2 linked regions of the Drosophila melanogaster genome follow. The protein of the gene in region 2 interacts with the protein of the main gene of each other region in a pairwise test. Each region holds a gene or a part of one and is shown on either strand. Other genes may lie near its edges. The genes, in order: Sec16 and CG14568.

Region 1 (16,177 bases), on a different chromosome or scaffold from region 2:
TGTTCGTGATGCCTCTTGCCTTTTCCGCAATGAGCCGCTGCTGCGTTCCTGCTTCAGAGCGTTCGATTTGAAGCGATTGTTGATGCTGGCGGCGCCATTGCTGCGAGTATGTTGCTCCTGCTGCAGCTGCTGCTGCTTGGTTTGCTGCAAAATCTGCTGTTTAGCGTACTGCAATATCTGCTGTTCATCCTGCTCCTCATCCTCCTCCTCTTCATCCTTTAGTGCAGCTTGATTCTCATTGGGCTGCATTCCATTTGGATAGAGGCATGTTTATATTTTCGTTTTGTGTGTGCAATGTGATTAGAAACATGTTAGCAATTTGGCGAGTCCTACTTCTATGGCTATAACACAAGTTCAAGACAGATCAAAACTTAAGGCGTAAACAGAATTACATAAAATACAAAACTAAAGCATAACATACATTGATCAACTTAAAACGAACTAAAAAGGTAAAATAAGCAACAAATTAACCCTCTGTATAGCAATTCAAGAGTATGCTTATTTTATATCCTATAAAAGGGAGCTGAAATTTCTTTAAAGCGACTACGGAAAACCACAATTTTTAAACGAACTTTGGAGCTTTATCAAAAAAATGAGTTCATCAAATGGAAATACAGAGGGTTTAAGGACGGCTGACTATAGCTAACCAGCACTTACCTCGTCACCATAAGGTGGCTGCTGTGTGCCCGACCAGTAATCGTATCCGTAGCCAGAGGGAACCGCAGCTGGATCTGCTGTTGCTTGTCCAGGTTGGTAGGCCTCAGTTCCTGGCTCTATTTGGCCATAGCTGGGAGTCGGCTGTGGTTGAGGTTGCTGCTGGTCGTATTGATGCTGTGCAGCATTTGGATCGTAATGAAGCTGCCCCGCATTGGGATCATAATAGGACGGTTGGCCCTGTCCATAGGGATCGGATTCGGTTGGCGCTTGAGGTGGTGGCTCATAATATTGTTGTGTTGGCTGTTGGTACGATTCCGATAAAACTTGTTGCTGCTGTTGCGGCGGCTGTTGATCCACCGGTGGCAACTGCGGCTGCAGCGTATTCTCCATGTTGCTGTTGCTCTCGTATTGCATGTTTAGCTCCCTGAATTGCTTGTTCACCTCTGCAAACTGCTGATCGATGTCGTTTTGCTCCTGCTGGACTTGCTGATTCTGCTGCAGTTGTTGCAGCTGCTCTTGTTGGGGCTGCTGCAAGGAAGGATTATCGAATTAGCAGGGTAACAAACGGTGCTCTCTAAGGTTTGACCTCACCACATAGGCCAGAGATCTAAGCTGACGCAACCAGGCCTTCTCTTCAGCAGCAGCACTATCCTTGCTAGTGGCATTCGGAGGACTCGCAAATGAGACACGATTAATGAGAATGGGATCATGGTAGCGCAGGCGTTCGGCCAAACCGCAAACCTGTTAAAACACATTTAAAATTGATTATGTCGCATATGGGGTAGCTATTTTAAAGAGTCTTACCCGCTGAATGAAATTACTGTCGTAGCTTTCCGGCTTCAGTTCGATGTGCCTGGCGATTTGTTCCAAATAATTGGTGCAGCGGAAATGCTGACCATAATCTAGGATCCTTGTGGCTAGCAGGAACTTGTAGTGTTGGAAGTGGGCAATGCTAAACTTCGGATCGAACAGCGATCGAGCATACTCATAGATCTCGGTCATGATGATCGCCTCGTTGCTGGCAAATTCGTTGAAGTGCTTGTAGTGCGAGGAGCCAAGTAGAATAAGCCTGTAATCGAACGTTTGACATGTAAATGGGCCATCAAAAGCTATAAAGAGCATTACTCACCTGGGCACATTGGCGGTCAGAGTAGTTAGCTCTGTAGCAGAGCTATCGTATCGTCCGAACTCCTCCTGAGCCACCAGATAGCAAAAGTGTGCCGCATAAATGTCGCCGCGCTGGAAAAGCGTATCGCCAAGGGCCACTACCGAACTGCGATCATACTCCGGCTGGCGACTCTTGTTCGTCACCAGGATGGAGAGATGCGATCGCCAGTCACCCCACTGTTCATCCCTCAGCTGGCTGACGCACGCCGGTGTGTGGCAGCTCTTCATTTGGTATAGTGTCTGCAATGGATCGTTGGCCTTGATCGCTCGATTGAGGAACTTCTGGGCTACGTCAGTGAGAGCATAGCGATCCTCGTAGAGGGCCAAGAAGAATGCATGCGTCCACAGGCCGTTGTCGGTTGCCCACTGGAGAGCCTCCTCGACATTTCCGCGCAGCACATAGCTGCGGAACTTGTCCGTTGCCGCCTGTTCCGACAGAGGCGTTGCTGCGTTTGCAGCATCAGCTCCATTGATTGAGCTAGTTGCCGCGCCTGCTGCAAGTGGTTCCGCAGGTGTAACTCCTGCTGCCGATTCGCTATCTAAATCCGAATCGACTGTCTTGTCCGCCGGTGCAGCGGCATCCTGTTCGGCATCCGCATCTGGCTCGTTCTCTGCTTCGAACTCGCTGGGATCATAGGGATACTCTTGCTGGTTCTCCAGCAGCAGATCGCCCACATCCGTGTCCGCAATGTACTGAATAAGCATAAAACGAATGATTAGAAATCATATCCAAATCTGATCAGATTCCTACTTACCCCATTTTGGCGCAGCAAAAGTATTAGCAGGTGCCACATGAGCGCATGGGAGGCACGGTATTTCGTCACGCTGCCCTGTGGCTTCTTCTGCGTGGCATACAGTGCGGTGCAACCCTTTGTGGGCCCCAGTCGGATCTGCTCCTTGCAGAAACTGATGATCTTGTCCTTGTGCAACTTGCGTCCCTGCAAGGGACCAGGATACATGCGCAGCAGGCTGCTCGTACCGTCCCGTATGCGTGGTGGTGCCACCTCCACATCGTTGCGCAGTCGTCCACGTCCCGCGTATTTGGGCTTCACCTTCAGCAGCAGACTCATCGCATACGAGGCCACCAAATGCGGTCGGCTGAACTGCAAGGGAGTGCGTCTGCGCGGCGGACGAGCCACCGCAGTGTTGGTCACCGGTCCAGCGGTTCCAGCCACTCCTCCATAAGTCGAAGGTGCCGCATCGGCAGCAGCTCTACAGTGGATCACAAACATGTAAGAATTAGTAATGTGGACAAACATAAGGGTCTCAGCGAGGAAGTAACAAAAGAGATCATGCAAAACCGAAAAGGGGTTTCTGGTTTTTTGAGAGTATATGGTGGTATCGGGAGAGTAGAAAACGAAATTGGGAGAAAAGAACCCATCAGCGAAGAATCATCAACAGTTCCCACTTTATGCCACTTAAAAGACAGGTCTCAACAGTTCTCCACAGATCCCAAGCTGATGTTCCAATAAAATATAGATGATATAATGGTTTTTATGCAACCTATTGAACTTTTGTTCCGTGCACTTTCTGTTCTTTTGGTTTAACATTTCTTATACTATTTCTTACTGAAATGTATGTATTCTTTAGAGATTCAACACAATTAAGATAACACGGTTTTCAATTTGTTTGGAAAAATAAAATACGTTATTTAAGGTGACTTTTAGGTAATAGTAATGGCTCGAAAGCACATTCTTCAAAAAAATAATTTTCCTGAACCCAACCATCCAAAATTCCGAAAAAAAAACATCTGTTCTAAAGACAGAGACAAAGCGAAGAAACTATTTCCCAAAGCAGCAGAACAGTGGGTGCGACAGAGAGGGGGGTAGAGTGTGGATGAAAAGGACAGGTGTTTTGGGTGATCTTGTTTTTGCCTAGAAGAAAGCGCAAAGCTTCAGAGGAGAGAAAGAGATAAAGCGCGACAAAAAGCGAGATAGTGGGTTAAGTTTTTGTCAGACAGCAGGCGATTTTTTTGTTTTAATTGTATACCCTTGCAGAATATAATTTATTCATTTCAGAACTATTTAATACTTAATTAGCAAAATCAGACAAAATCTTGAGTTAAATGGATCATAACAAATTCTCAAATATGGGTTCAAGCGTTTAACGTTATGATCACATACATGATATTGTATCTTTCAGATTTTCATTTGCCGAATTAGTAAATTCATAAAGAAGACATCGATATTTAATGGATATATTCTGAATGAATTAATTTTTTATCATGACAGCAAGGGTATATATGAACATTAGCTTGCCAAAGTTAATGTCCTTTCTCGTTTTGGCTATCTAAGGATTCTGTATTTCTTTTTTGTATTGACCACCTGATATCGAGACCGCATTCGGAACCAGCGTAATACGGTCCGCATCGGGAATTGCGTCCATCGCCGTTCAAGTTACTCAACGATCGGGCACTGGATAGTGGATACGATTGGTATTGGTTATAGATGGAACCTCCTCCGTGCGATCCGTAAAAACTGGCATTATCCTCTGCAACGCTAAAGCTGGAGTTCAGGTGATCCTCCCTCTGCTGTTGTTGTTGTTGCTGCTGCTGTTGTTGTTGTTGTTGCTGGTAGATCAGCTCTTTGTATTGGTGACGATGGAATTCATTGGCTTGGGTTATGTATGCGTGTGTATACCTGTATTGTATATATGTATGTATATGTAAAGGTGGGAAGTTGGGCAGATAGCACATATGTATGTTGTTGTTTGTGTGCAATTTGTTGTTGTTGCGATTGCGATTGTTGTTTGTTTTTGTTGGTTAGAGACGAAAACAGTTTTGCGGTTATTTACGAATTTGCATTAGTTTGGTTTTTGCATTTGTTTGGATCTTATTGTGTGTGTGTGTGTTGTTTTAATTAGTAAAACACGTACACAGCGAACGGCACACGGGGAACAAAGTGGAAGTGGAGCATGGTATATGGCGGGATGGTAGAATCCAATTGGAATATGTAACATGTATTTGGGGTACAACGCAAGGGGAAAAGAGAAAGCTGCAAGAGAGCGAGCGAGAGCGAGACACCTAGGTTCTAATCACTTACTACAAACAAAATTAGCAAGTTTTAGTTCAGTTGATAAGATTAAAGCCCAAGTCCAACCTCAACATTTAAGGGACGGAGTGGTGGTGTAGATGGGCAATGGGAGGGGTTAGGGTTAATATACCCATTCAAACGCTAAACAATCAATGTTAATCATCCGTTTTTAGTTGACAAACATCAAGGTAATGTAAGAAAGCCAGAGAAAAACCAACAACTACTTCGAGTTCAAAAAGTTAGGAGCAGGTAAACGGGTTCAGACTAAGGGTTAAGTTATCAGGTGACAGGGGTTAAACAAAACTAAAGGAACGTTGGCAAAGGAACACTTTGGATCAGCCGAAATTCTAGAGCCCGAAACTTGCAGAGATTACACTGTCCTACTTAATTTCATTACACGAAATAAATTTAATTTGAATAGTCAAATAACAACATGCCATCTAATTTATATAATCTTTTTTTACACTAAGCGAAAGATATTTATTACGCTCCAGTGAACGAATAGTATAAAAATATCAAGCAAAAAATTGCCTTTTTTTTCCAATCATTTACTACAAAACTAATAATTTGCTAATCTCATATTTGATGCAACATACAATAAATAGAAATTGTGAATCCAAATATAAAAATTTCCTCAAACCCTTATCTAAAATCTCTGCAAGACTCTGGGGTATTTCTAGATGACCAAGCAAACTTCATAAATAATAAAGACATAAAAAAAAAACATGACATGTACTTGGAAACTAACCTTTCTCGCTCCCTGAGCATGGCGGCTTCACTGCTACCGCTGACACTTCCTCCGCTGGTGGCGGCCACCAACTGGGCGGCACTGACGGGCACCGCGCTGGGCATCAATCCGGGTATGACTCCTGCTCCAGCGGGAACTCCACCTTTCGAAGCAGCCGCCGAAACAGCTGCGTTCATCGAGTTGATCATTTGGCCATAGAACTTTGCATACATATCAGCGTAGACTTGTGGATTCCGCGACATTTGCTCGTACATTCCGTAGGGAACATAGCCGGTGGCTGACACGGGATACTGAGCACCAGGATTGCGCTGATCCTGATAACGTCTGCGTCCATCATCCGCACGGGCACTTCGACCCGAATTCTCGTAATTCCGTCGTCCGCCCGAGGAGCGTGACTTTTCAGCCGACGATTGTGGTTTGGTTGAGCGCCGGGATCGATTACGTTCCCGTTCGTAATCATCGAAATCCTCCTCGGCGGCACTGCGTCGATGGCGACTGGTTTTACTGCTCCGTCCACCGCTGCCATCAAGTTCTGCGTCGCCCATGTGATTATACTCCGGATTATCCGACTCGCCCTCGTAGTTGCTGTTGTTATAGCGACGCGAATGATCGTACGAACGATCCGGATCCTCGCCACCGCTGTGATACTTGTTGGATCGTCGACGCCATGTGCGGTCACGCTCCCTATCCCGCTCCCTTTCACGTTCCACTTTAGGATCCTGATGGCGACGAGAGCGTGCTGAATCGTGGTTACGTTTGTGATGTGTTTCTCTCAAGGATTTCGTCTCGTGATGGGCAGCACCACGCACAGAGTCCTCCGTTTCGCCTTCGTAGGGATAGTGACTATGGCTGCGTCCACGACTGTGCCTCTCCTCCATTAGATCCCTGCGCTCACGCTCCCGATCCCGTTCCCTTTCGCTCTGCAGGAATTCATCGGACTCATCGGACTCTAGATCCAGCGACGCGGTGGTCCGGCGTCCTACTGCTGCACGCTTCTTCTCCTGCTGAGTGGTTGAATGTTGCTGGTGTTGCTGCTGCAGCGTGGACTGCTGCTGATGTGGTTGCTGTGCATTTAGCGGGGTCATCGCCTGGGGCGGATTGTTGTGATGCAGCTGCTCCGCCTCGTCGGGTAGAATATTGTGATGTACTGAAGTTGTTGGCAGTTCAGCCAACGTTGGTGGCGGTATAGCTTCGCGATCCTCCAGATTCTCGCCATCCAGCACCACTTCCCGCTGTTCTCGCAACGACGGGGCATTGGTCTCCACGCCGGTTACGACGCGACGAGGTGGCGTCTGTATATTACGCACTTGCTGCTCGCCGTCAGAGGTGTCCTCGCCATCTGCGCGACGTTCTTGCATATGCAGAGCAGCTGCCTGGGCCACATTAAGTGGTGGCTGCTCTGTGGCTCCAGTGACCTGGCGTTGCTGCTGCGAATCCAACTCCGGTTGGCCCAAAACCAGACGAGACAGTCCTGGTGGTGGCAGCAGGCCCGCATCCTGATCCGCTTCACCTTCGCCCAGCTGCTCGGACAGGTGGCTGGTCTGCAAGTACTGGGCCCGTTCGTCATTTGGCGCGGACAAAACCTCCTGATTGTCCGGTTCCAAATGCGCAAAAGCCTGTGGAACAGCCGGTGATGCATAGAGCGATGCGTTAGGTACAGGAATGGGTGCAGGAATAGGTGCACTTAGTGGAGTTCCAAGTGAAGCCTCAACAGGTGGCGCCGCAATTAAGTTGAAACCCTCTCCATGAGCTTCTGCTGGCATACCAAAGAGCTGATCTGCTGGTGGCGGAATTGGTGCTACTGGTGCCACAGGAGCAATTGCAGCAGCAGGAGCTGGAGGCGATGGAGCTCCTGCTGCAGGATCTGCCATTATGTTCACTCGCTTATTTAGGCCCGTGGAACGCTTGAAGGGATTGGAACCAGACGATGGAACTATGCTAGGTGGCAGTGCGGCCGGTGGTGCAATAGTTGTAGCGTCCGCTGGCGGTGCTCCTACTGGTGGTGCTCCCACTGGTGGTGCTCCTACTCCAATGATGGGTGCTGGAGAAGCTCCTACTAAAGCGGAAGGTGCTGGCGAAGCTCCTACTCCTGCAAGATGTGCTGGTGGAGCTCCTATACCGGCGAGATGTGCTGGCGGAGCTACTACTCCAGTGGGAGGTGCTGGTGAAGCTCCTACTCCTGCGCTATGTGCTGAAGATGCTCCAACAGCATAGATTGGCGATCCCACAGCAGTCATTTGTGCAGAGAAGGAAGTCAGTGATGTTGGTGGTGGTGCTGCAGTTGGTGGTTGGTTTTGGAAAGCCTGGGGAGGCACAATGGCATCCAGTTCGGGTTCCTGCCCCAGTTCCGGCGGCGATTGTGGCTGCTGGTGCAGCAAAGGTATCGATTGCTGATTCAATGGCTGTTGTTGCAAGGACGTTGACTGCGGATTGGCTGGTGGCGGCAACTCTCCATTGTTATTGACATTATTGCTAGTGGCAAACGCCTGCCAACTGCCTTGCGAGGATTGAACATTGAAGGAATCCTCCAGCAGTTGTCCGGTTGGCTCTAACAAGCCATCGGTGCCGTTGCTATTATTGTTGTTGCTATTGTCGTTCCAATCGCCCCAATCACCCCAGCCATCGCTCCGGCCGCCACCACCACCTCCTCCGCTATTATTGTTGTCAAACGAGTCCAGAGCTGGTTCCGCTGGAGCCGGGACTTGTGGCTGCTGCTGAGTGGGATAATACAGTTGCTGCTGGATTGTATGTTGCTGCTGCGTAGGCTGTTGCTGCTGTGGTGGCAGTTGCTGCTGCGGTGGCAGTTGCTGCTGCTGCATAGGATGTTGCTGCTGCTGTCCCGGAAAGTAGTTATTGTAGTTCAGGGATTGTGGCTGCTGCTGCTGTTGATGCTGATCCTCTGGCCAATAATTTGGCTGATGTTGCTGGAACATTTGGCTGGCATAGACTTGCTGCTGCTGCTGCTGGGCAGGAAGAGTTTGCTGCTGTTGGGGCATTGCATGTTGCTGCTGTGGAGTAGGATGTTGCTGCGGCGCCTGTTGCTGCTGCTGCTGATGCGGTGGCAGCCAGGGCGCATTATTGTGCAACATTTTGGATCTGAACAAAGAAAAACAAAAGGATGTCAACTTTTTAACTCAAAAATGAATGCCTACTTATTTCTACAGAAATCACGTTAATATCCTGGTAAATCGTCAATTTAAATATCTTTTTAAGGTGTTTTCAGGTCCCTAGAGATATCTTTACCCGCAATTTGAACAGGCTTATTTTCCAAAAGAGATATTCAACCGAAAAAAGGGTTTAAAGGTATGGTATGGTAACGAAAAAACTTAATATTAAAGTGTTCGTTTCTTCGCCCAAGATATTTAAAAGGTTTCTAGGTGTTATAAGGAGTTTTCCGGGGAGATTGCAGGGGGTGGTTGCTGGATTTTGTGGGGCAGTTCAATGAACCAAACCAGTTTTGATGGAAAATTACCCGTTTTCTTGGATTTTCCTTAATGACACTTGGAAACCGTGAAGAGTGATGGAAAATACGCAATCGAATACTGAACAAAATAGAATTTAGGGTATATTATAGAGCTCACAATGAGCGGAAAAGCAAAAGTTAAAAGTTTACGTGGACGTTTGCCATATTTTGCCCCTTCTCCCTCCCACACTCTTCTGGTCTTCTTCTTCGTTTTGTTACCACCGTTTCATTGCTCTCTTACTTTTGTTGTTGTTCTCTTGACGCAGCAGGTTTTTTGTTTTACCTATTTTTTAAGCCGCTGATAATTTGTGCAGTTGATTTTTCGAATCTGACCTTAAATATACTTTTTTCATTTCTTTTTTTTTTATTTTTAAATGTTTTTTTTACCACTTCGCAAGTCAAAAGTGAAAACACTCTCTTGAAAAAAAAAATTGGAGCAGCGGTGAGGGAGAGAAAGAGACAGCACTCTTTTTTCTTTCTCTTGGCGAAAAAGAACCATACGCAGGGTTGCAATCCGGTGTTTTTTTGCGAATTTTGAGCACACAATCGCTTTTACTAGCCACAATAAACTAAAGAAAACACTTTTCAGGTGGCTTTGTCAATTATCTTTTATAAAAATAAAACACAGCCTAATATTACGAGAGAGAGAGAGTAAACACACATTCGCAGGCAGGTAGGTTGCACAAACACACATACAGCTCTCCTTTTTCTCTTCTAATTAGCTTACGCTGCACACTGACTTACACAAATCGCTTGTTTATTTACACGCACTCGGTACGGCACTTTTTTCGGCTGTACTTAACTAAAAATATTATACAAGTTACTGGTTTGCTGACGTTCTTGGGAGTTAAACAATTAAATATGAAATTTTTTCAATCCGAACGCAGCAATGAAATCAAATGCCAACTCGACTTTCGTGGTGTTGCCAGACTGCCAGCAGATAGAGATGACACTAAACAGTTGGATTGGTGTGACAGGACAGTGGTCACTTAAAAAATCATATATTCCTACATTTTAAATATTTTGTATTAATATAAATGTATAAATCTTTTCAATCGATAAATCAATTAAACAAATTAAATCAATTCCACATTTCTTGCTCGTATCCTATAAAACTTATAATTTTTTGCTGCATTGGAAACTAGACTTCGATACTCATTTAAAGTAATAAATGGACAAATGCAAGTTTTTAAAATAAGTCTATTTTTTCTGTTGGTTTTTATTATTGATCTTCAGACTTTTCATGTAGAATCATTATTAAAAGGGGATTCAAAATATTGAACAGGAAAATATCAGCAATGCCCCTTTAACGACTCGCCGAACAATCGATAGCTTACAGTTGCCCATCGCTAGCCATGCCTGTGCGTCTATCGCCAGGTGATGCGTTAACGCTTGCGTATTTTGTTGATATTTGCAAGCCACGCGAGAAGAGATGCTGCGCCTACTCGTGTCCAATTGCGGCAGGAGCAGCGACATATTTAGGTAGAGTAGGGGTCACCATCGCGGGCGAGGTTCTGGGCCGCCGACGCACGAGGATCTGCTACGGCCAGCAGTGAATTGGGGAAACAACGACTCCCCCTCGCCCTCACTCCGGTTATGTCATCAATCAGCCAACCTATTATTAACCGCCTATTTCGCTTTGTTTAGTCGCCACCTGCTGCAGCCCACGCAGCAGCCACTGCCACGCCTCCAGAATGCCGCCCGCCTGATGCGCCAACATTTGCGTGGAACGAACGCTCCCCAACCGCCCGCGATACCGCCCACAAATGCCAGCCGCCTGCTGCAGACGACACGCCTGCTTGTGTGGGGCGGTGGTAGTTTAGCTATCGGTCTGGGCGCCCGTTCCTGGTGGGCGGGGCATCGCGGAGCGATCGTTCATTGCGAAGGCAGCCGGCTGGCCATTCGAAAGGAGGAGGAGGAGGAGGACACTGCGTCGGAGCAGCACTTCGACTGGAAGCGTTTGTGGACCTACTTGGAGCCACATCTCTGGGAGCTGATCGGGGCCGTATGCGTGAGTTCTTGGATCACAAAAAGCCCACGAACAGGTGTAGCATTTGTCAAAATATTTAGCTAATTTCATTTGCAGGCCGCCCTGATAGTGGCTTATATCAACATACGCATCCCAAATCTTCTCGGTGACCTGGTAAACACACTGGCCAGATATGCCAACACGTACGTGATGGATCCGATTAACAACTCGTTCGTAAAGGACGTGAGCAAACCGGCCAGCAATCTGCTGAGCCTATACATGCTGCAATCTGGTTTCACCTTTATGTACATCTACCTGTTGAGCCGCGTCGGTGAGCAGATGGCAGCCAAGATGCGGCAGGATCTGTTCACGCAGATTGTCGTCCAGGACATCGCATTCTTCGATGAGAATCGAACGGGCGAGCTGGTCAATCGACTAACCGCCGATGTACAGGACTTCAAGACCTCGTTCAAGCAGTTCGTCTCCCAGGGACTGCGAAGTGCTGCCCAGCTGATTGGCGGCAGTATATCGCTCTTCATGATTTCACCGCACATGGCCGCCATTGCGCTGGCCAGCGTTCCGTGCGTGGTTATGTTCATGACGTATTTGGGCAAGAAACTGCGCTCTCTAAGCAAAAGCTCACAGGCGCAGGCGGAACGAGCGACGGGTGTCTGCGAGGAGGCGCTGTCCAACATCCGAACGGTTAGATCCAGTGCCTGTGAATACCGCGAGATGCAGCTGTTCGAGGCGGAGACCAATGAGGCGGCTCGCCTGGCGCAGAAACTCGGCTACGGCATCGCAATCTTCCAGGGCCTGACCAACTTCTTCCTCAATACACTAGTCCTATCTACGCTCTTTATGGGCGGCCACCTCATGTCTACGGAGAGTCTGTCGCCGGGTGCTCTGATGGCCTTCCTGGTCGCTTCGCAGGGTGTGCAGCGATCCCTTGCCCAGGGATCCATCCTGCTGGGCACCATGATCAGAGGCATGTCGGCCGGCAGTCGAGTCTTCGAGTTCCTATCGCTGCAGCCACAGGTGGAATTGCTGCGCGGCTACATCATCCCGCAGGAGCGGCTGCACGGCGAGATTCGATTCGAGAACGTCTCATTCGCATATCCCATGCAACCCGATCATGTGAGTTGTATTAAAGTATATCTTCATTTCATTCTCGAGACAATGATGGCATATTTACATTAATCGATGCTCTGTAATTTGTAAACTCGCCACTTTTTTATATAATATTGAATAACTTCTTATCGCTTCCGCAAGTAGATAACCATTTTATAATACCCACAAACATTTATGGCCAATATTTACGGCTAAGTGATAAAAAGATTAGAGTCTAGGCAATGCAAACAGTAATGAACTTCCTATGTCAATTTTTGCTTCATTCACAGCTGGTGCTCAAGGACTTTAGCCTGACGCTCCGCCCGGGCCAGACGGTGGCCCTGGTGGGAGCCAGTGGATCGGGCAAGTCGACGATAGCGTCGCTGGTGGAACGCTTCTACGAACCATCGGCGGGCAATATCAAACTGGACGGCTACAAGCTGTCGGACATATCGCCCTATTGGCTGCGGTCCAATGTCCTCGGTTTCATCGAACAGCAGCCGGTGCTGTTTGGCACATCGATATTGGAGAACATCCGATATGGTAAACCAGATGCGGGCGAGGAGGATGTGTATGCGGCAGCGCGTCTATCACAATCGCACGACTTTGTGACCGCCCTGCCCGATGGATATGCGACGCATGTGGGCGAACGGGGCACCCAGTTGAGCGGCGGTCAGCGGCAACGCATCGCCATTGCACGGGCGCTGCTCAAGAATCCGCGCATCCTCATCCTCGACGAGGCGACGAGTGCCTTGGACGCCACCAGCGAGGCGGAAGTGCAGAAGGCACTCGATACAGTGGTCCAGAATCGCACCACTCTGGTGATTGCCCATCGCTTGTCCACGATACGAAACGCTGACCTCATTGTCGTCCTTGATCAGGGACGCGTCGTGGAGGTGAGTTGTCCTAGACCATTGGTATCTTCAGAAATATTTATATTTTCCCTTGTTTTAGACCGGCAAACATGACGAACTGATGGGCAAGCGGGGCCTGTACTTTGAGCTGGTGCGTCAGCAGGAACGACGGGACATCCAGGAGCAAGTCCAGGCGGTGGAGGACGTTGTGGCCGTCAAGGAGCAGCAGGCAACTGCAACAGAAACTTCAACAGCCGCAACAATTGCAACTGCCGCAGAAACTTCCGCAGCAACAGTGACAGTGGGGAGCAGCAGCTTCGGTGGCAGGGCAAACGCAGCGCAAGGATAGTGACGATGTTAGGCAAATTGAATGATTCCCTATACACTTAATTTAATATTCTTATAATGTTTTCACTTTTTTTTTTGTTTTCAACTGACCAAAAACAAAAATGGTGAGAGACGCTAACAATAAGTATACAATAAAATAAACGCTGAAGACAGTATTGTTTTTGTTATAAACAGAAAGTATTTCATTGTCATTATCGCTAAATTCACCGGGTTCATTAAAAATAGATGGGATGCGTGAACTTAAATTAAAGTTTGAAAAACTGAATATAAAACACTTGAAATCCCAATTTCCGTTAAATAATATATTCAATGGGACCGCATTATTTCTACAACCATACTCATATACGGTCACTCGAAGATTAAAGAAAAACTATTTCAATATTCAATTCTGTTCAATATTTCTTGTTAGTGACAAGCAGCGTGTTTATAATAAAAAATTTGTTCATTAAAGAGTTTATATATTTTTTAAGTTGATTGGCAGCTAGACGATAGTTTTGAGATTCTTTAATGACAGTCCTACGGTCACACTGGCTGAATTGTATTTTATTTTGTGTAGTTTTGTTGTTGTTTTGTTTATTATGCATTTCTTTTTTATTGTTTGAGTTAGCGAGCTGTGCGTCGCGTCGGCATTTAAACAAAATCCGCGGCATTTCGGTAGTTGCGATTAATAATTGCTTGGCGGGAATTACAGTCGAATAAGAAATTGGCGAGGAAAAACCAACAAATGTGCAATGTGCGTCAAGTCAATAGCAATACAAACGAACAATTATGTAAGTGTGTGTGTGTGTTTGGTTTAGTTTAGTGTACAAGTCCAGCAAAAAACAATAAAATCTAAGTAAAAAACCAGTTGTTGTTGCTATTGGCTTTGCTAATGTCGTGTTGTTCCCGTTCCCCCACACACATTTTCTAACAGCGCGTGCATGTGTGTGTGTGTGTGTGTGTGTGCAGCACCTGTACGCGTGTGTGTGTGTGCTTCTGCCTCCGCACAGTGGACACATTCCTGAATTTTGGAGTCCAAAAATATGCAAATTGCCTGAGTGAATTAATTGACTTAATTAACAAAAATTGGACCGCAAGTTATGATAACCATAGTTGATTAAACGGAATTAGTTTCTAGCGGGACTAGTGCGACAAATACTCAAACTTACTTGATTTTTTACCATTCGTTCCATTCGTAAACCTAGCTTGTCTTGGCTATTTTATAGACTTCAGTCAGGGTGGCACACCCACTCATTTCCAATCTCTTCAAAGCAAAATCACAGCACTGTGATATGGTTGGTTAAAGTAAAAGTTCAATGGGTTAAGCAGGTGATTAAAGGCACATTAACCCCTAATGGAGCTTGGACTGCACTTAACGCACGGCTCACATGTGACCACTGTGCGCGCGTGCAAGTGTGTGCGTGTGCATTCGTCATTCATTGGTCATGTTTATGCGGTCGGAAGAGGGACGTGCACAACAACTACAGTTAGCTCAGCTGAAGTGCAATTGCGATTGCAGTTGATCCAAAGAGTCGCGTTTGTTGTTGCATCAACCGGAGTTTTCACGGTCAATGTTGAGCTATATCCATAAATACACAAACATTCATGTGTATTTGCATATACATATGTATGTCCATATGCATATATCCATGGATTATGCATGCAAATCGATGATGGAAATCAGGCGGTATAGCGAATTCCGATGGGGGGCAGCTGACTCAGGATCGAAGTCTTTATCACTGAACCCTAAACTAATGACTACCGGACTCAATTATTTTGTTTTGTTCGGTCATTTTGTTTAGTACGCAAAAATATTTACATGGCTATCGCTTTAGCAATAAAGTTCGAATTGCTGTCCCAGTATATCATAAAAAATCACGGAGAGTTTTGAATGCAATTGGTTTTGAAAAATGCCAAACCTTCCTATCATTAACACTTAAATCAGTTAGAAAAACTAATATAATACTATATTAGTTGATAATAAATGCATTTCATGTATGATATCATTGTAGATATCTTTTTTCTCAACGTTAATGATAATGGGTAAAGATAGCTTATTTATAGACCTACATTGCCTATATGATATTTGCTTAGTTTCCACTGGTTCATATCGACCTGTTGACGATAATTGGCCAAGTTCCGTGACTGCTGGTCTATATTTACTATATTTAATACCTATTCCGTCATCGACTAATACCTTTTTTTTAACCTCCCGCCCCCCTGCTCTTTACCCACAGTGCTAACGTGATCGGGCCAAGGCACAAAAACATTCCATGCATCATCAGCAGCGCCTGCGGGCAAATGGCGGACGAGGAGGCACTGGATTGGGCGCAGGATCAGGACCTGTGTCCGGAGGACACTCACCATTGTGCGCCCATTGTCGGGGTCAACTACTGCCACATCCAGAGGAGCCAATCGTGATGGCTCTCGGCCAGCAATGGCACTGCGATTGCTTTCGCTGCTCCGTTTGCGAGGGCCATCTGCATAACTGGTACTTCGAACGGGAGGGCTTACTGTACTGTCGTGAGGATTACTACGGCCGATTCGGCGATGCCTGTCAGCAGTGTATGGCCGTTATCACCGGACCCGTAATGGTCGCCGGCGAGCACAAATTCCATCCGGAGTGCTTCTGCTGCACGGCATGCGGCTCCTTCATCGGCGAGGGCGAATCGTACGCCCTTGTCGAGCGTTCGAAGCTCTATTGTGGCCAGTGCTATGGCAAACGTTCCTGCCAGCCGGCGGATGCGAAGGCGCGGATCACAACGGCCGGCAAGCCGATGCACTCCATCCGTCTGGTCGAGATACCCAAGGACGCCACGCCCGGCCTGAGGGTCGACGGAGTGGCCCTCGACG
Region 2 (14,489 bases):
AATAAATATTATTATTTAAGTTTATAATAAATCAAATTATGAGAAAAATATAAAATTAATTGTTAAATCTCAGTTAAAAATGGAATGTCGTATTACTCACTTGACCTCCTCGGGCGAATTTTTTGTCGCAGAGGTCGCAAGGATAGGGCTTCTCGCCAGAGTGGAGGCGCATGTGGAGCCGCAGGCGCTCCTTGAGGGCGAATGATTTTGGGCACTGGGAACAAACGAACTGTTTCCGATGCTCGTGGGCGGTGGTGATATGATTTTTCAGGTTGACCGCCTGGCGGTAGCTCTTGCCACAATCCTTGCACTTGTGCGGTCGTTCGTCCGAGTGGATAAGCATGTGGCGCTGCAGATCCGTCTTGCCACCGAACTCTTTGGAGCATTGACTGCAGACATGGTGCTTGCGTTTCACCGGTTCGCCCTTTCGGGCAGACTTCTTAAGCTGCGGTTGCACGTAATCATCATCCTTTGAGTCCTGCTCTCCGCCGTCGTCCTCCTCCTCGTCCACACAAGCATCGCGCAGACTTGCCAAGCTGCTCTTCCTCCTTTTGATCGCAAGCGTAGGGCCTGGTGAGGATTCCCTCGCCGCCGGCGGCGAAGACAGCGATATGCCGCTGTCTGTGAGCAGAGAGACGGCATCCTCCTTGGACACACTACGACGGCTGCGTACCATTTGTTTGGTTTTTATTATTTGGATTCGTAACTAAATTTCTGGGGACCGCTTCCTGGGAAACACCGGCACCTGCTGCGTTTGTCTTTACTTCTAGGGTTAATGTTCTACGTATGTAATTTAGGGTATTCGTATTTTTTGGTTCGATTGCTACTTCTAGGATAGTTCCCATTCACCTTTGGTTTGGATTAGTTCAGATGGGCTGCAAAAAAAGTTAAGAGCTGTTTTAATTCTCCACTCGCCGAGCGCCACGTTCCGAAGCAGACGGAGAATCAAAAACACAGACAGAAATAGTAACCGCAAGTGAAGCCGAAACAGAAACAAGAAGAGAAACAGCAACGGAACAGAAACTCCAGCTGTGTCAACAGTGATAAGACCTATGCACAGGAAAAATATTACCAAAATTGGTGGATTTGCATATTTAGGGGCTTCGAAAAGCATGGCACTTTTTACGTTAATGCAATAGTTCTTACTATTTTTGCAGTGTTGTCGAAATCACTTGAGATTTTTAGACGTTGTTTATCATAATTAATTAATTAATTGCAATTCATTGGCTATCCAATTAGAAAATATATTCGTTTCTTTACAAATCTAGTTAACAACGGAAGGTTGTGGACTGTTTTTCACGGTGTACAGAGCTAGGAGCCCAAGTCTTGAAGTGGGTCGCATTATCAATTGACATTTCCAGCGAACGTAAGCTTCCAAAAAAAATTCTTAGTTTGTTGTCTTAATCTTTTGTTTGGGCGGGAGCGAGATGGAGAAACCGCCTGATAAGATCCCGAGGAAGGCAACAACTGATAAGCAATCCACCGCTTTCACTAAAATCACGGTAGAGCTATAAAAAGATATCGAGATAAAGCTGTGCAACCTGAGCGTTTTCGATCCCGCGGCGTCTGTTCTCCGAGGCGGCGGAGTTTCCAATGAAAAGCGAGAACACTGAAAATGCAACTGCAAGAGAGCGATTACGATGACCCTGGGCTGGGACGAACATCTGGCAAGCAGATTGGGAACCCTCCGATTCCGATTCCAGTGCCAAGCAACCCCCTCCCCCTGCGGAGGGTTAATGGTTCATTAGAGCCGCACCCGCAGAAGCTGAAAACTAACTCACTTTAGCAGCACAACGGCCCTCGACCAAACTGTTGAAAAAGCGAATTTAAGCTAGAATCCGCAGCTGGGAATCGAAATTGAAAGAGAACAGGGCAAAAAGCACGAACGACAGCGAAAATCACACACAAAAAGCGAAAATAAAGAAGTGAATACATAACAGCAGTTTTGTAATGCTAAATAGGCGGGGTTATGGGGGTGGGTAAGGGTTAAGGCGGCGGCGGTCGCTGGATGAGGGTAGGGGCCGTTGAAGTCTTTCGTATTCGGGGCACAAAACTCGACGACTGTGTAGTTTTCGGGGTCTTGCAACCGATTGTTAGTAATTAATGAACCAGCACCACAGCACTCATATACGTAAAGCAATCCATTATACACATATGCTACACATTTGGCCCAGGGGCTCCACATTCAACACCAACACCAAAGCCCCACCGGGCGTGGACTTACCTTCGCAAAAAGCAGGAGTCGCTAGGCTAAGGGCCTTCGATCCACAGGAAACTTAGCATCACCCCGAATGGGACACACCTGGACTTCCTATGCATTCCGCGTCCGACTATGAGTTCGCTTCTTATTTGTTTTTAATTTCGACACCACGAGCTGTGTGTACATACTTTTTGCAATCCGCTAGGTGGCAGTCCGACTGGCTCCTCAAGGTGTATCCATCGTGCTGCCTGCGGCTTAACCTTTGTGGGACTTTGCGGGTTTGCCGATTCTAAGCCAATACTGCGTTTTGTCCAGCAAAATAAATAACAGTTTTCGGTGGTTTTTCGATGTTGTTCTTAATGTTAGTGATGTGTATTCACCGATAGACGGTCACACTGGGACTCTCTGTCTGCGCGGCCACAGATGGGAGCGTGATGCACAGTCACTAGTTAGAGAAAATCCAATAACGTGTAGGTTGCGGCGCAATAAGTTATAAATAAGTTAAAAATCACATTGCGCAGTATCACTGCAATATTTATTGAAATTTCAGTAAGAACAAAGTGAGGCACACTTTGTTGAACGTGACTTCTTTTACACACTGAAATCACAGCCTGCTGAACGTGACCACTTTGCTCACTGAAATCGCAGACGTGTGGCAACACTCAAGCCGCCAGAAAGATCTGGCATCTCTCATACTTAACACGCGCATGCAAAATATTTAAGAAATAAATATTAGTCGCTAACAGTTTAAATATAATAAAATTCTGCTGATATAAACCCAGTTCATAAAAGAACACGCATTTACCTCCGCATATAAGATCAAATACGTATAAAATCTAATTAGCCGACTCAAGGTAAGGCGTGCGTTTTTGGAGCTCCACTAAACTGACTTCAAAGCAATAACTCATCAAATACTACATTTCAGTTAAAATGGCTGGAGTACTCTTTGAGGACATCTTCAACGTAAAGGACATGGATCCGGAGGGCAAAAAGTTCGACCGTGTATCCCGCCTGCACTGCGAGTCCGAGTCGTTTAAGATGGACCTCATCCTGGACATCAACTCGTGGCTATACCCCATGGAGCTGGGCGACAAGTTCCGCCTGGTTTTGGCCACCACCCTGCGCGAGGATGGTTGCCCGGACAGCGGGGAGTACAATCCAATGGAGCACGAGGGAACGCGGGCGGACAGCTTTGAGTACGTGATGTACGGCAAGATCTACAGGATCGAGGGCGACGAAGCACACAATGAGGCCTCCCGGCTCTCCGCCTACGTGTCATTCGGCGGCTTGCTGATGCGACTTCAGGGTGACGCCAACAATCTTCATGGCTTCGAGGTGGACCAGCACATGTACCTGCTGATGAAGCGGCTGGCCTTCTGAATTTTCTACCTAATTATTTTCGATCGCAAATTAGACATAGACAACAAACTTTATTTACAGTGTATTCATGACATTGCTTGGAGTGCTGAAAGAAGTAGTCTATTGCCTGGATGGGCGTCTGAAAGGCGCATTGACTATCAGGCGAGATGGCCGTGGGCGAAAAGGAATGTGGCGATCCACGAAGGGCAAAGCCTGCGGAGTCGATGGGAACACTGGAGTAGGCCTAATAGCATTCACAATCTTGACCGCATCTGGCCGACGACGAACCGTAAGCTTAGCCGGCCGTCGCTGCGGAGTCCGCAGAACCGGACGCTGCGGGCGGAAGGCAGAAAGTCGGTTCAGAAGCGGCAGAACATACTGAGCCTGGGGTGGTAGCGGCAGACTTGCCAAATTAATTATAGCTGCGCTTTGTGGCAATGTGTTGGAGCTGTCATCATTGGCTGGCTGGTCTGGAGGTCCGTAGGTCTGATCGGGAGGTCCATAAATTTGGTCCGGTGGGCCGTAGACCTCAGCTGGCGCTTCCACCAAAGACGGTGGTCCGTATGTTTCAGGTGGAGGGCCATATGTATCCTCCGGTTGAGGAAATTCAACCGCCTCCTCCGTTGGCAGGTCGAATGGCGGATCGGGGACCAGGCCTGCTGGTGGATATGGGGCTTGTTCCTGTCTTTGCAGAAACCTTCCCGCCGCGGGTCCTGGGAACCTCAGATGACTGCCTTCAATTCCATTCAGGCAAAGAATGGAACAAAGCGCAAAGGTGACCAGAGAAGCACTTGGATAACCGGACATTGTGGTGTGCTGACATGAACTGCTGCATGGGCGGCTAAGTGGCGCCTATAAATACCCCCTAGGAATGCCCTTGGGAACTGCCCAATTCAAACGCCCGAAGAAACCTCGAGGCCGATGACTTATAAGCCAGGTCCAACGATACGTGCCCATGGAGGTGGTGACTAAGGCGCGTGTAAGTACTGGCTGTTATGAAAATGTGTGGTTAGATTTCTTTAAAAGGGAGTGCTTATACAAAATAATTGTATATTATTTTTACACAGGAATAAAAAAAATAATAAATATAACGCTTTCCTATTAGTTTCAGTATGGATTTCATTTTAAATTGAATTTTGTAAGTAATATTTTGTAAATATATTTTCTGTGTACGGTGAGTGCATGATATCGTTAGAATAGATTCCAGCCCTGTATCAAAGACACTAGAATAATTATTCTAGAGTCTTTGCCTGTATGATATTTCCTTAAGTCTGACGCAGTGACGTATTTGCTTACGCTAAAGTTTTAAAGTCTACCAACTGCGACGCAGGATTAGACGCTGAGGAACGGGCCTCTGGGAACGCCGTCCTTGCGGAAATCGCTGGTAGAGTCGGGCGGACTGGACGGACTGTGGCTGGTCAAGACTGCTAGCTACAACGATCACAGTGCCATCCTCAGCAACATCCAGCTGCGGTTCATCCTCCTCGGCGTCCTCATCAGCGGGCTGCAGCTTGGCACCGTCAACCGATGCTTCCTCAGTCTCTGGAATATCATCAGTCTCGATGGGATTCTCTGGTAGCGGCTCAGCCTCGGGAGCAATAGCCGGCACGGAGTCGGTCTCTGGAGGTCCATAAGTGTTATCTGGTGGCCCGTATGTGTTGTCCGGAGGTCCATAGGTGTTATCAGGCGGCAGATAAGTGTTCTCCGGCTTGACAGTCGAACTGGGTAAATCGAAGGGAACACTCGGGGTGATGCCCGCCTCCGGATATCCGGTGGGCGAAGGACTGGGTATAGCCTCCACTTGGCGCGCCAAGAACCTCCGGCGGATCGGCTCCGCGGAGCTCAGCGCCAACAGGCTCAGGACAAGAATAGCAATTGGTGCGCCAGTCGGTTTAAACATTTTCGCGGTTGAAGGGCTTCTGTTCTGATTTCTCGATCCGACACGACGTATTTATAGCCCCAAGCTACCAGATCGAATTCTGCTATAATTTATGCTCGTCACTTTCAGTTTCAGGCTCTTATTCCCGGTAAAACTTTGATTATGTTGCGCTGATCGGCGGCAATGTAGCTTCAGCTTAATACCCGATACGTGACCCTTTTTCGAAATTGATTTTCCAATGCTATGATTTGGAATAGGCCACCCTTTCCCTCCTTCGCAAATCATTCATTAACACTTGGAGTGAGCTGTGAACACTCGAGTTTGTTTGGTTTTGGGTTCTTGGCAGTTCATAATTTTATTTGATGAACTTTGTATTCATGCAAAACAGAATAGGCTGTGAAAAAATCCATCAAGCACGCACTTTTAAAAGCACGTCCCACCCATTTGCAACATTTGGACAGTTTCAATCAGGGTCGATCGAATTCAAAAACAATGTTATTTACTATTAGCTTGGCTTTTGGAACACTCATTTGCCTTACCAAAAATTATTATATTCTGAGCTTTGAGTTTTTATCATGGTAAGTGAAAATCGGGTTAAAAAATATAGTATTCATACTCCTTACTCGTAGAGTAAGATGTGTTGAAAATTATGTAACAGGAAACTTTTCCGACCATATAAAGTATATACATATATGATCAGGATCAATAGCCGAGTCGATCTGGCCATGCCCGTCTGTCCGTATGAACGTCTCGATCTCGGGAACTATAAAAGCTAGAGGGTTGAGATTAAGCTTACAGCTTACAGCTCACAGCTTCTAGAGAAACGCCCACTCTAACGCCCACGAACCACACAAAACTGCAACGCCCACACGTTTGCAAATTGTTTTGACATTTTGCATATTTTTATTAGTCTTGTAAATTTCTGTTGATTGACAAAAAAGTTTATGCAACGCATTTTATTCACCAATATCTATCGATATTCCAGGAAAAGTATGCAAGTTCGCGTTCGCATTTCCACTAGCTGAGTAGTTGGTATCTGATAAGCAGGGAAGCCGAATATAGGATTTCTTGTTTGATACTGCTTGGACAAGATTTTTAATAGATAATAGAGCACAGGGTAACTTGTAGTTGAGACTCCCGAATCACTTTTGTGATTTGATCCTGATTAAGAAAATAAGATCTTAATAGAAAAGCAAATGCGTTCATATATCTGTTAGCTCCAACAACAAATTAAATATGTTTTGCTTCACTAACAACAAGACAGACATATTTTGCAATTTTCAATTTATGACAAAAGGGTGGCTTGAATATTAACGCAATTATTTTATTATTTAAATTAAAATATTCAACAACAATTTATTTAGCGACAAAGTAATAAATGCATATCCTAATGAGTCGATTCCATTTGATTTCTAGCAAATTAGGGTTGACCCATTTCAGATGGTGTACACCAGAACTGATCCAGAGCGGATAATCTGAGCGGATCGAAGCTTCTCTGGGGTCGGACGACGACTGAGGAGGCGTTCGTTACGAGGCTGGATCAAGCCGGCGGGCACGGGATCGGCAGCAGGGGCCTGGTCCACTGGGCCATCAGCCGGCGGTCCATAGGTGTTTTCCGGCTCAGCAGGTGGTCCGTAAGTGTTATCGGGAGGGCCGTAGGTGTTGTCGGGCTCATCTGGGGGTCCGTAGGTAAGATCAGGTTGCGCTTCAGTCTCCGTGGGCAGGTCGAAGGGCACCTCCGGTGTCACTCCTGCTGGCGGATAAGGGGCTGAGGCCGGCGTAGGTGCAATATCCACGGCGGGGTCGGCCGGAACTGCCTGATCCCCTGGAGCCTGCTCCTGACGGGCAAACTGCAGGCGGGAAAATCGTCCCCGGAATCTGGTAGGCTCTGCAACAGAAACGGCAGCCATGGCTGCGATCAGGAGCAGGGAGCAGATGAACTTGTGGGCCATGTTGAGCTGCTGCTGAGTTGTCTTAGAATGTTGTCAGTGGCTGCCAGTTTCGCGCCTTTTATACCAACTGAAGTTTTCGGCCACTCGGGTATATTTGGCTCACCGAGGGACACCCTTTCGTTGGCCTACGGACGTGACAATATTTAGTCAAGGGCCCATGTCTAAGCCATAACCATTGGCCGTTAATTATAACCCGCGGGCACTTAACTTTGACACTTTACGTGGAACCACTGCGGATGAGGAATGGGTTGCAACCAAAGAAGTCGAACTAGTAACGAATGTCATTCGTTGACTTGTATGTTTTCTAACGTAATTCTATAATTTTATAAATATGTCATTACTTTAACTGAGCTAATGAATTTCTTTCTAACCTACTTCCCTTTTTATATACTAAGCATGTGGCCAATGGTCCACATGGGCATGGGCAACTAGGGCTATAGATCTGCTAGCACTTTAAATTCCACTCCACTGTGCGGCGCCTGCTTGACATACAATGCATACGCATTGATGGATTTCAAATCGCGGCGCTCTGCTTAAAATTCACGGCGTTGTTGGCTGGGCTAGAATCGCTGACCAGTGACCACCGATGAGCAGGGCCACCGCTGCGGCACTTGGAAGTATAAAAGTTAAAGCTCCATATACGACAGCAAACACAGCTCAACTGCTAGTCCCACGATCATGGCACGTTACCAGTTTTTCAGTTCGCTCCTCCTCCTGCTGGCGGCCATCAGCGCGGTGAATTGTGCGGCACAGGCACCACTTCGGCGGACTCTGCGCCTGCGTCCGGTGGCGTTCGCCCGGCAGGAGCTGGCTCCCACCCCCTACCCCTCGGCTGCTGAGCTTAAACCCGCCGCCGAACAGCCCGCGCTGACCTACGGACCTCCCGAGGATGTGGATACAGATGCCTTGCCTTCGGAACAGGATCCACCAGTGGACACCTTCGAGCCTAGCCCAGAGAACGAGGAGGTGGACACCGAGGAGAGCTCACTTGAGGCCACCACACCATCCTCTGCTCCGGCCCGCCTGCGCAGCCGCCATAGATTGGGCAAGTTGCAGCTGGCTAAGCCAAAGCTGCTCCGCCAACGCACAGCTCGCCTGGAGGAGCTGCCCGTGGATGCGGCTGTGGCTCCAGTGGCTTCGCTGGTTCCAGTAGCTCAGGCTCCAGCACTGGCCACGCCCCAGTTTTACTATGTGGGTGCCCAGCAGCCGTATTACCTGGCAGCCTACAGCGCTGCTCCCCAGCAACTAGGCTGGTAGTAACGCTAGTTGCCTTCTCTTAATTTGTTCTGTTTGGATTGCAATTTGTTGTTAAAAATATATTTCTGCTAATATGTTTAAAAATGGTTCGTCTGCTTGTTTTCCTTACATTTTAAGTAAACTCAGTCCAAAAAGTCTAAATAGAAACCAGTGATATGATAAGCGAAACTAATTAATAAATTAAATATCCCGACTCCAATATCAAACAAATAAGTTATCATTTACGTAAATAATTTAGTATTTCGTATTTAATCAAAACGTATTATGTGAAAGTAAGTGGAGAAGGGAGGATAATCAGCAGTGTGCTCATCTATACGTGTCAGTCCATCTGACTGTGTTATTTTGAATTATTAATAATTTATATTATTATTCAACATCTACCGATTGTCGAGAAATAATAATTGCATGAGAAATAATTGCTTTTAATGGTTAATATTAAATTGTCGAAATGGATGCAAATTTGTTTACACACAGCTCAAAGATTTCAGTTCTCTAAAATTCAGTGCAAGCCATTTGCCTTTAAGAAAAACTTATATCAGACCTATTCTGGACGAACTCCTGTTCGGAATTCTTTGCATATCCTTGACATGTGAATTGCCTCGGAAGCGTTTAAAGGGTTCCTTGTTCCCATCGCATACTTTTAGCGGATTTGTATGGTCTTTTGTGAAAGGCTTCCCATTTCCAATGCATTTTTAATGCTTTGTTTTATTCTAGTTATAGTGGCTGGGTCACCAGTGTAATGGCTTGCTAAGATATTTTTTAGTCTGCGCAATATGATTGGTGAATGGTGGCCTTTCAACTTGATGACGGAGCAGTGTAAAGGATCATACTTACGGACATTTGGTTTTAATATTTAAGTTATTCTAAATATTAAAAATATTTCGGTACGCGGACGGACCGACACGGTAAGATAACCTCAGCTAGTGATTCTGGTCAAGAAACCTTATACTTTATAGCTTGTTCCTATCGGTTACCTACTTTTCAATGAGTCTAACACACCCCTTTACTCTAAGAGTGCCGGGTATGCACATTTAAATGACATGCATAAACACACCTTTGAACACATAAATAACACATACTTACCATTTTTAATAGAGCATTTTGTAAGGTTTAAAGCTTATATAAATACCCTCATCTGTTATCCAGGATTAGTTTGTACAGAGACGATGTGCAACATTATTTAGGAAAATGCTAATATCCTGTGCAAATATGTTCAAATTTTTGATGATCATTATTGTGGCTCTCCTTGAACTAACCAAGGCACTGGATTCACCTGGTGTTGCCACACAGAGGCCACCTGTTGGGGATAAAGTTGTATATCCGGAGGAAGACAAGCAATATATAGATATTCGTTGAGAAATTATTTGTTTAATTTGCTAACATCCAAATGTTGCGCCTAATAATTAATTATATGAAATCTATGTTAAGATCAGACCAAATTAAAATGTTTGTAAATAAACTTTAAATAAAATTAATAAAAGAAGTAAAGGACATCCTCATTCTCTCAATAATGATTTTCAAACTGAAAATTATGAAAAAAAAATCGCCAACCGTTCAACTAATTCCTTCGTGTCTTAGTTCTTCGATTGCTTAATAGTTTAGAAACCAAAAGGGCTGCTGGTCCAAGGGCGGCTGTTTCAAGTTGGACATGGCTGACAAACTCCTCTGACTTGGAGGGCAGAAGCCACAAAAAGGACGACCTTTGGGGTGATCCATAAAAAGCTTGATAATATCCTGTTGCGAAGTAAAGGCTCTTCAAATCTTGTACATTTTAAAATGTTTGGGCTCCTTTAATCACCTCCCCAATTGTATTACACTTATTCAGCCAATAACCTGCACCATTTTTTAGGCTACTCATTCCTTTAACACATACCAATATTACATGGTTTTTTCTTAACCTAACCAAGTACTGCAAGTAACACTTATCCCACAGTCGCAGCATCCTCCTTATTTGAACACAAGTTTGTTTCTTTCTATTTTAATGAACATCAAATTTATAGTAAACATTTAAAAGTAATGAAGTGTCTCTATGCGCACAAAGTTGTGAATTTGCATCCAAATAGGGAATTAATTTACATTCTATTGTGGACGTAGTGGTTGTGGGGGTGACCATGGGCGAATCCCAGAAATAACACATTTCTGAAATTTGATTTTGCAATTCTTTTATCACACAGGTTTATATTTTATAACCTTACTTTGTAAACGAAAATCATTTCGATGTATATAAGTACAATATGAAAAAACGCTATAGTCAAGTTGCCCGAATGTCAGATACCCATTACTCAGCTTGTCGACGAGCGAACGAGAAATTTCAACATTTTTCTGGCATCAATATTGGAAAATATTAAAAAAAAAAATAATACAATTTCAACATTTTTCACAAGTGTGGGTATAACAGTTTGAAGCGTTTTGTGGGGGAATAGACACGCCCCTTTGTCTATTATGATGTGGTATACCGATATAAAATACAATAAAATAGAAAAATCAAAACCCTTTTTAAAAGCGTTTAACTTTCATACGAACGAACAGACTGACGTGGCCAGATCGACTTGGTTAGTGATTCTGTTCAAGAATATATATACATCATATGGTCGGAAATACTTCGTTTTACCTGATACATACTCTCTTCGAGTCTAGTACACCCGTAGAGTAACTAAGAGCTTTCTAGCTTAAATTGTTTCTGAGATCACATCACTGCGGCTGCTGTATATACACGAAGAAATTAAAATCTGATTTGATTGTTCGATCTGAACGAGGGAAAAAATATATGGATTGAGAGTACTTGACTTTTTTAAAAAGTCGAACGACTATGTTTCTGTTTGGTAATATGTAATGTTTAGCTTGTAGATTATTTCTTTTAAGGTGATCAAAGCCTACTGTTGTTAACTAATTTTCAAGCCATCAATCTTATCAACTTTGAGTTGTTTCCCTTATCGTCACCTATAAACACAAATCTTGCTTTTCATTATATAAAATAAATAGGTAATTCTATATTTAAATTCGCACATATTTGAGTAAGTAAAAATCTCATTGTTGTTATTAATTTCAATAGTTAACCGCGGAAGAAAGATGCCCGCGTCTCCAGGCCACCCACATTCGGTCTCGAGCTATTCCGATGGGCCTCAATGGCCTGGTAATTAATGAACCAGAAGGGCTGCTGCTCCACGGGCAGCTGACTCAAGTGGTTGACCCACTCGCGGTCACCATGGGCATCGATGGGCAGCTGGTTGAAAACGGGGGCCACTGATGTTGCGGGTCTTCCGGCTGTGGAACTGGTGGGCTGCGTTGTGAACTGTGGACTGTCCTCTGCTCCAAATCGGTTGGCCACTGTGGGAGCCGCCTCCGCAGCAGACCCACTTATTGGCAGTACTAGGGGAACTCCAATCGGCGGCTTCTGGGAGGCTCCAAACGGTAGATTGACTAGAGCTGGCCTCTGCGAACTGGATGGCTCTCCAAATCTCGTAGCTATGTCCACTCCGGTGATATTCTCGACGGCTGTGTTTTGAGTTGCGTGGTACTTGTCCTTCTGACTTAGTCCACCTGGTGGCCTCAATCCCGCAAAGGAGGGCCGTTGGGCTCGAATATTTTCCAACAAAGTCATGGCAATGATGGCCACGGCAAACATTCGTCTCAACATTGTTGCAATGAAAATTTCACTTTCTGCACGCGTTTCTCCGGCAGCTTTACTCGAAGTAATCCGGTCTGATCTTCTACGACAACTGAGTACAGGCGGCTGGGAAGATCATTTAAATAAGCTTTGGCTCTCTGCTCCACAGCAGCTTTTCTTCAAATCAAACGAGTTGCACAGAAAGAAAAATTTATTATTATAAATTGCGTTTTTAAAGTATCCAAGCTAAATATGAATTTCACTTCGTATATCAAGGGAAGGCAAATAAAAAGTGAAGGCATTTTTAATAGTGGTTAAAAAGACGTATATATGTGAAACTGCATAGTTTCTTTTCGGTGTATACTATAGTAATGACTTTTAATGCGACTAATTAAATGTTCAATCTTGTAGTAGTTGTATTGTGAAGATATAGGTATAGGTGCTTTATTGTCGAAGGGAATAATTCCTTAACTTCCTTACTTTGTGATGTGTAATGTGCTTATCTTAATGGCGAAAAATACTCTTGCTTCGACCCTTGACAATTCGCGAACATTTCAAATTTGAAAATGCAATTAAATGAATCATTGAATTTGGTGATTATGTGTGCTGGAATATAGTTATTCTTCCGGATAATTCCTAGAGAACTTTTCCTCATAACTTTTGTTTTGAACTTTTTGTCATATTTATGATTCCATAAGTGCAGTTAATGTTCTTAATGTTGTAATTATTCTTTTTACCGTGCTGGAAACCATTTTAACGTGCAGTTTTTATTTGAATTTCTTGTTATCATGTTTCTATAAGAAAAAATAATTTGTTTTTCATTATCTCTCTTTTGAAACCTCTGAATTTTTTCCCACACTGATTACCCAGACTGCCCTGGATCGAGTTCAAGATTAGAGTATTTATTTTTCACTCGGAGCTCAGACTGCCGTATTTCTTGTTTTTTTTTTTTGCGGTCGGGGCAATCCCAAATTCGTCACCAGTTTGCGAAGCGTGCGTTCCCAAACCGGTTCCAGGTCTTCCCCTTTACCCACTCTCTCGGTGACCAATAGCTTCTTGATCAAGTTGGCTGAAAATTGGCTTTTGGACGCGTCTAGGAAAGTTTCTTTCCCGTCTGTACCGAAGTGATTCACTGGTATGACTGCCAAAAGAAGTTCGTTTTATCTCGAAACCAGATTTATTTGCATTATATTATAATCGGATGTGTGATTTTTTTATGTGTAGAGTGTGGGATCAGGTGAAAAAGAATTTCTGTGTGTGTTTTTGTCGTCATCGTGGCTGGTTGGATCGTCATGGGTTTTTGTTTTGAGTTGGCTGCTGGAATTGCAAGCAAAATAGAAAGAAATATTTAAAGGATCTTCTATATGGTTAATCATTTCATTGTTTATTGTTTTTTTGGTGTTCAAAAGTTATTCTTGATGAGTTCTCAAAGCCTTACCTGATTTTCACTTAGAAGCGTCGCACGGTGGAGCGGGCAGCACTCAATTTGGCCGGACGAGCTGCGGCGGAAAGTGGACGGCGATAGGCCACGGGCTTAGCTACTCTCCGGTAGTTGGCGGCCCTCCTGGCAGCTACCAAACGGGCCTGCTGCTCCGCCGGAATGTCGGCGGCAGCGGGCAGATCGTTTCCGGTCACGTCCGGTGGGCCGTAGACCTCGTCGGGAACGCTGTTAGGAGCAGCATCGGGCGGTCCATAGACGGCATCCGGTGTGGGCCCGGCGGCCGAGGGAGCAGCAGCCTCGTCGAAGGGCACTTCCGGCTTCAGCTCATCTGCCGAGGGATAGGGTGTGACGGCATCCGGATCAGCTGCGTCAGCGGGAGCCAGCTCCTGCCGAGCGGAGTACCTCGAACGTCCGCGGCTTAGGCGCTGCGAATAGCGCTGTTGCTGGGCTTGGGAAACGGCCAACAGGCTGAGGGCTGCAGCAATAAGGATAACCTGGAGCTTTGCCATGGTGGAGATTGATGGATTCAAGTGTATCTGTGGGAAGGCTGAACCAACGACTGATGACTGGAAGAGCCTCCATGGGCGCTTTTATAGGTAGGACTTGGATGGGCACCTGTTTAGTGTGCGGCGCGTGGACCCAGCGTGGGCATCCTTTTTTGGACCTACGGTCTGACGTCGGCACTCCACTATGGTCTTGGTTACCCACGATCGGCGGTGTCTGCGGCGTCTTTATGCGCCCACGACGTGACCAGAAATAGGAAGCAGATGTAGATGTCCGAGGTTTCGCCAGAA

What was found.
Region 1: the proteins of CG14568 (region 2) and Sec16 interact in a two-hybrid assay, tested with the Drosophila melanogaster proteins (one large-scale study listed by BioGRID).

The regions. Positions count from the first base shown.
Region 1 is NC_004354.4:12,589,869-12,606,045, reverse strand, and holds the start of Sec16 (secretory 16), read right to left. Parts: upstream 10,000-16,177; 5' UTR 9,812-9,999; intron 9,371-9,811; exon of another isoform or gene 9,309-9,370; intron 9,146-9,308; exon of another isoform or gene 9,077-9,145; intron 8,701-9,076; 5' UTR 8,694-8,700; coding exon 5,605-8,693; intron 4,464-5,604; coding exon 4,149-4,463; intron 3,037-4,148; coding exon 2,580-3,036; intron 2,518-2,579; coding exon 1,787-2,517; intron 1,727-1,786; coding exon 1,462-1,726; intron 1,399-1,461; coding exon 1,249-1,398; intron 1,186-1,248; coding exon 658-1,185; intron 244-657; coding exon 1-243. Other genes in the region: CG1824 (uncharacterized protein), read left to right, coding at 10,500-10,549, 10,715-11,078, 11,154-12,170, 12,434-13,039, 13,098-13,346; LIMK1 (LIM domain kinase 1), read left to right, coding at 15,598-16,177.
Region 2 is NT_037436.4:21,726,063-21,740,551, forward strand, and holds CG14568 (uncharacterized protein), read right to left. Parts: upstream 7,426-14,489; 5' UTR 7,391-7,425; coding exon 6,875-7,390; 3' UTR 6,744-6,874; downstream 1-6,743. Other genes in the region: CG11247 (uncharacterized protein), read right to left, coding at 101-676; Polr2H (RNA polymerase II, I and III subunit H), read left to right, coding at 3,131-3,580; CG14570 (uncharacterized protein), read right to left, coding at 3,680-4,366; CG14569 (uncharacterized protein), read right to left, coding at 4,872-5,459; CG14573 (uncharacterized protein), read left to right, coding at 8,069-8,647; CG14567 (uncharacterized protein), read right to left, coding at 11,700-12,272; CG14566 (uncharacterized protein), read right to left, coding at 13,704-14,204.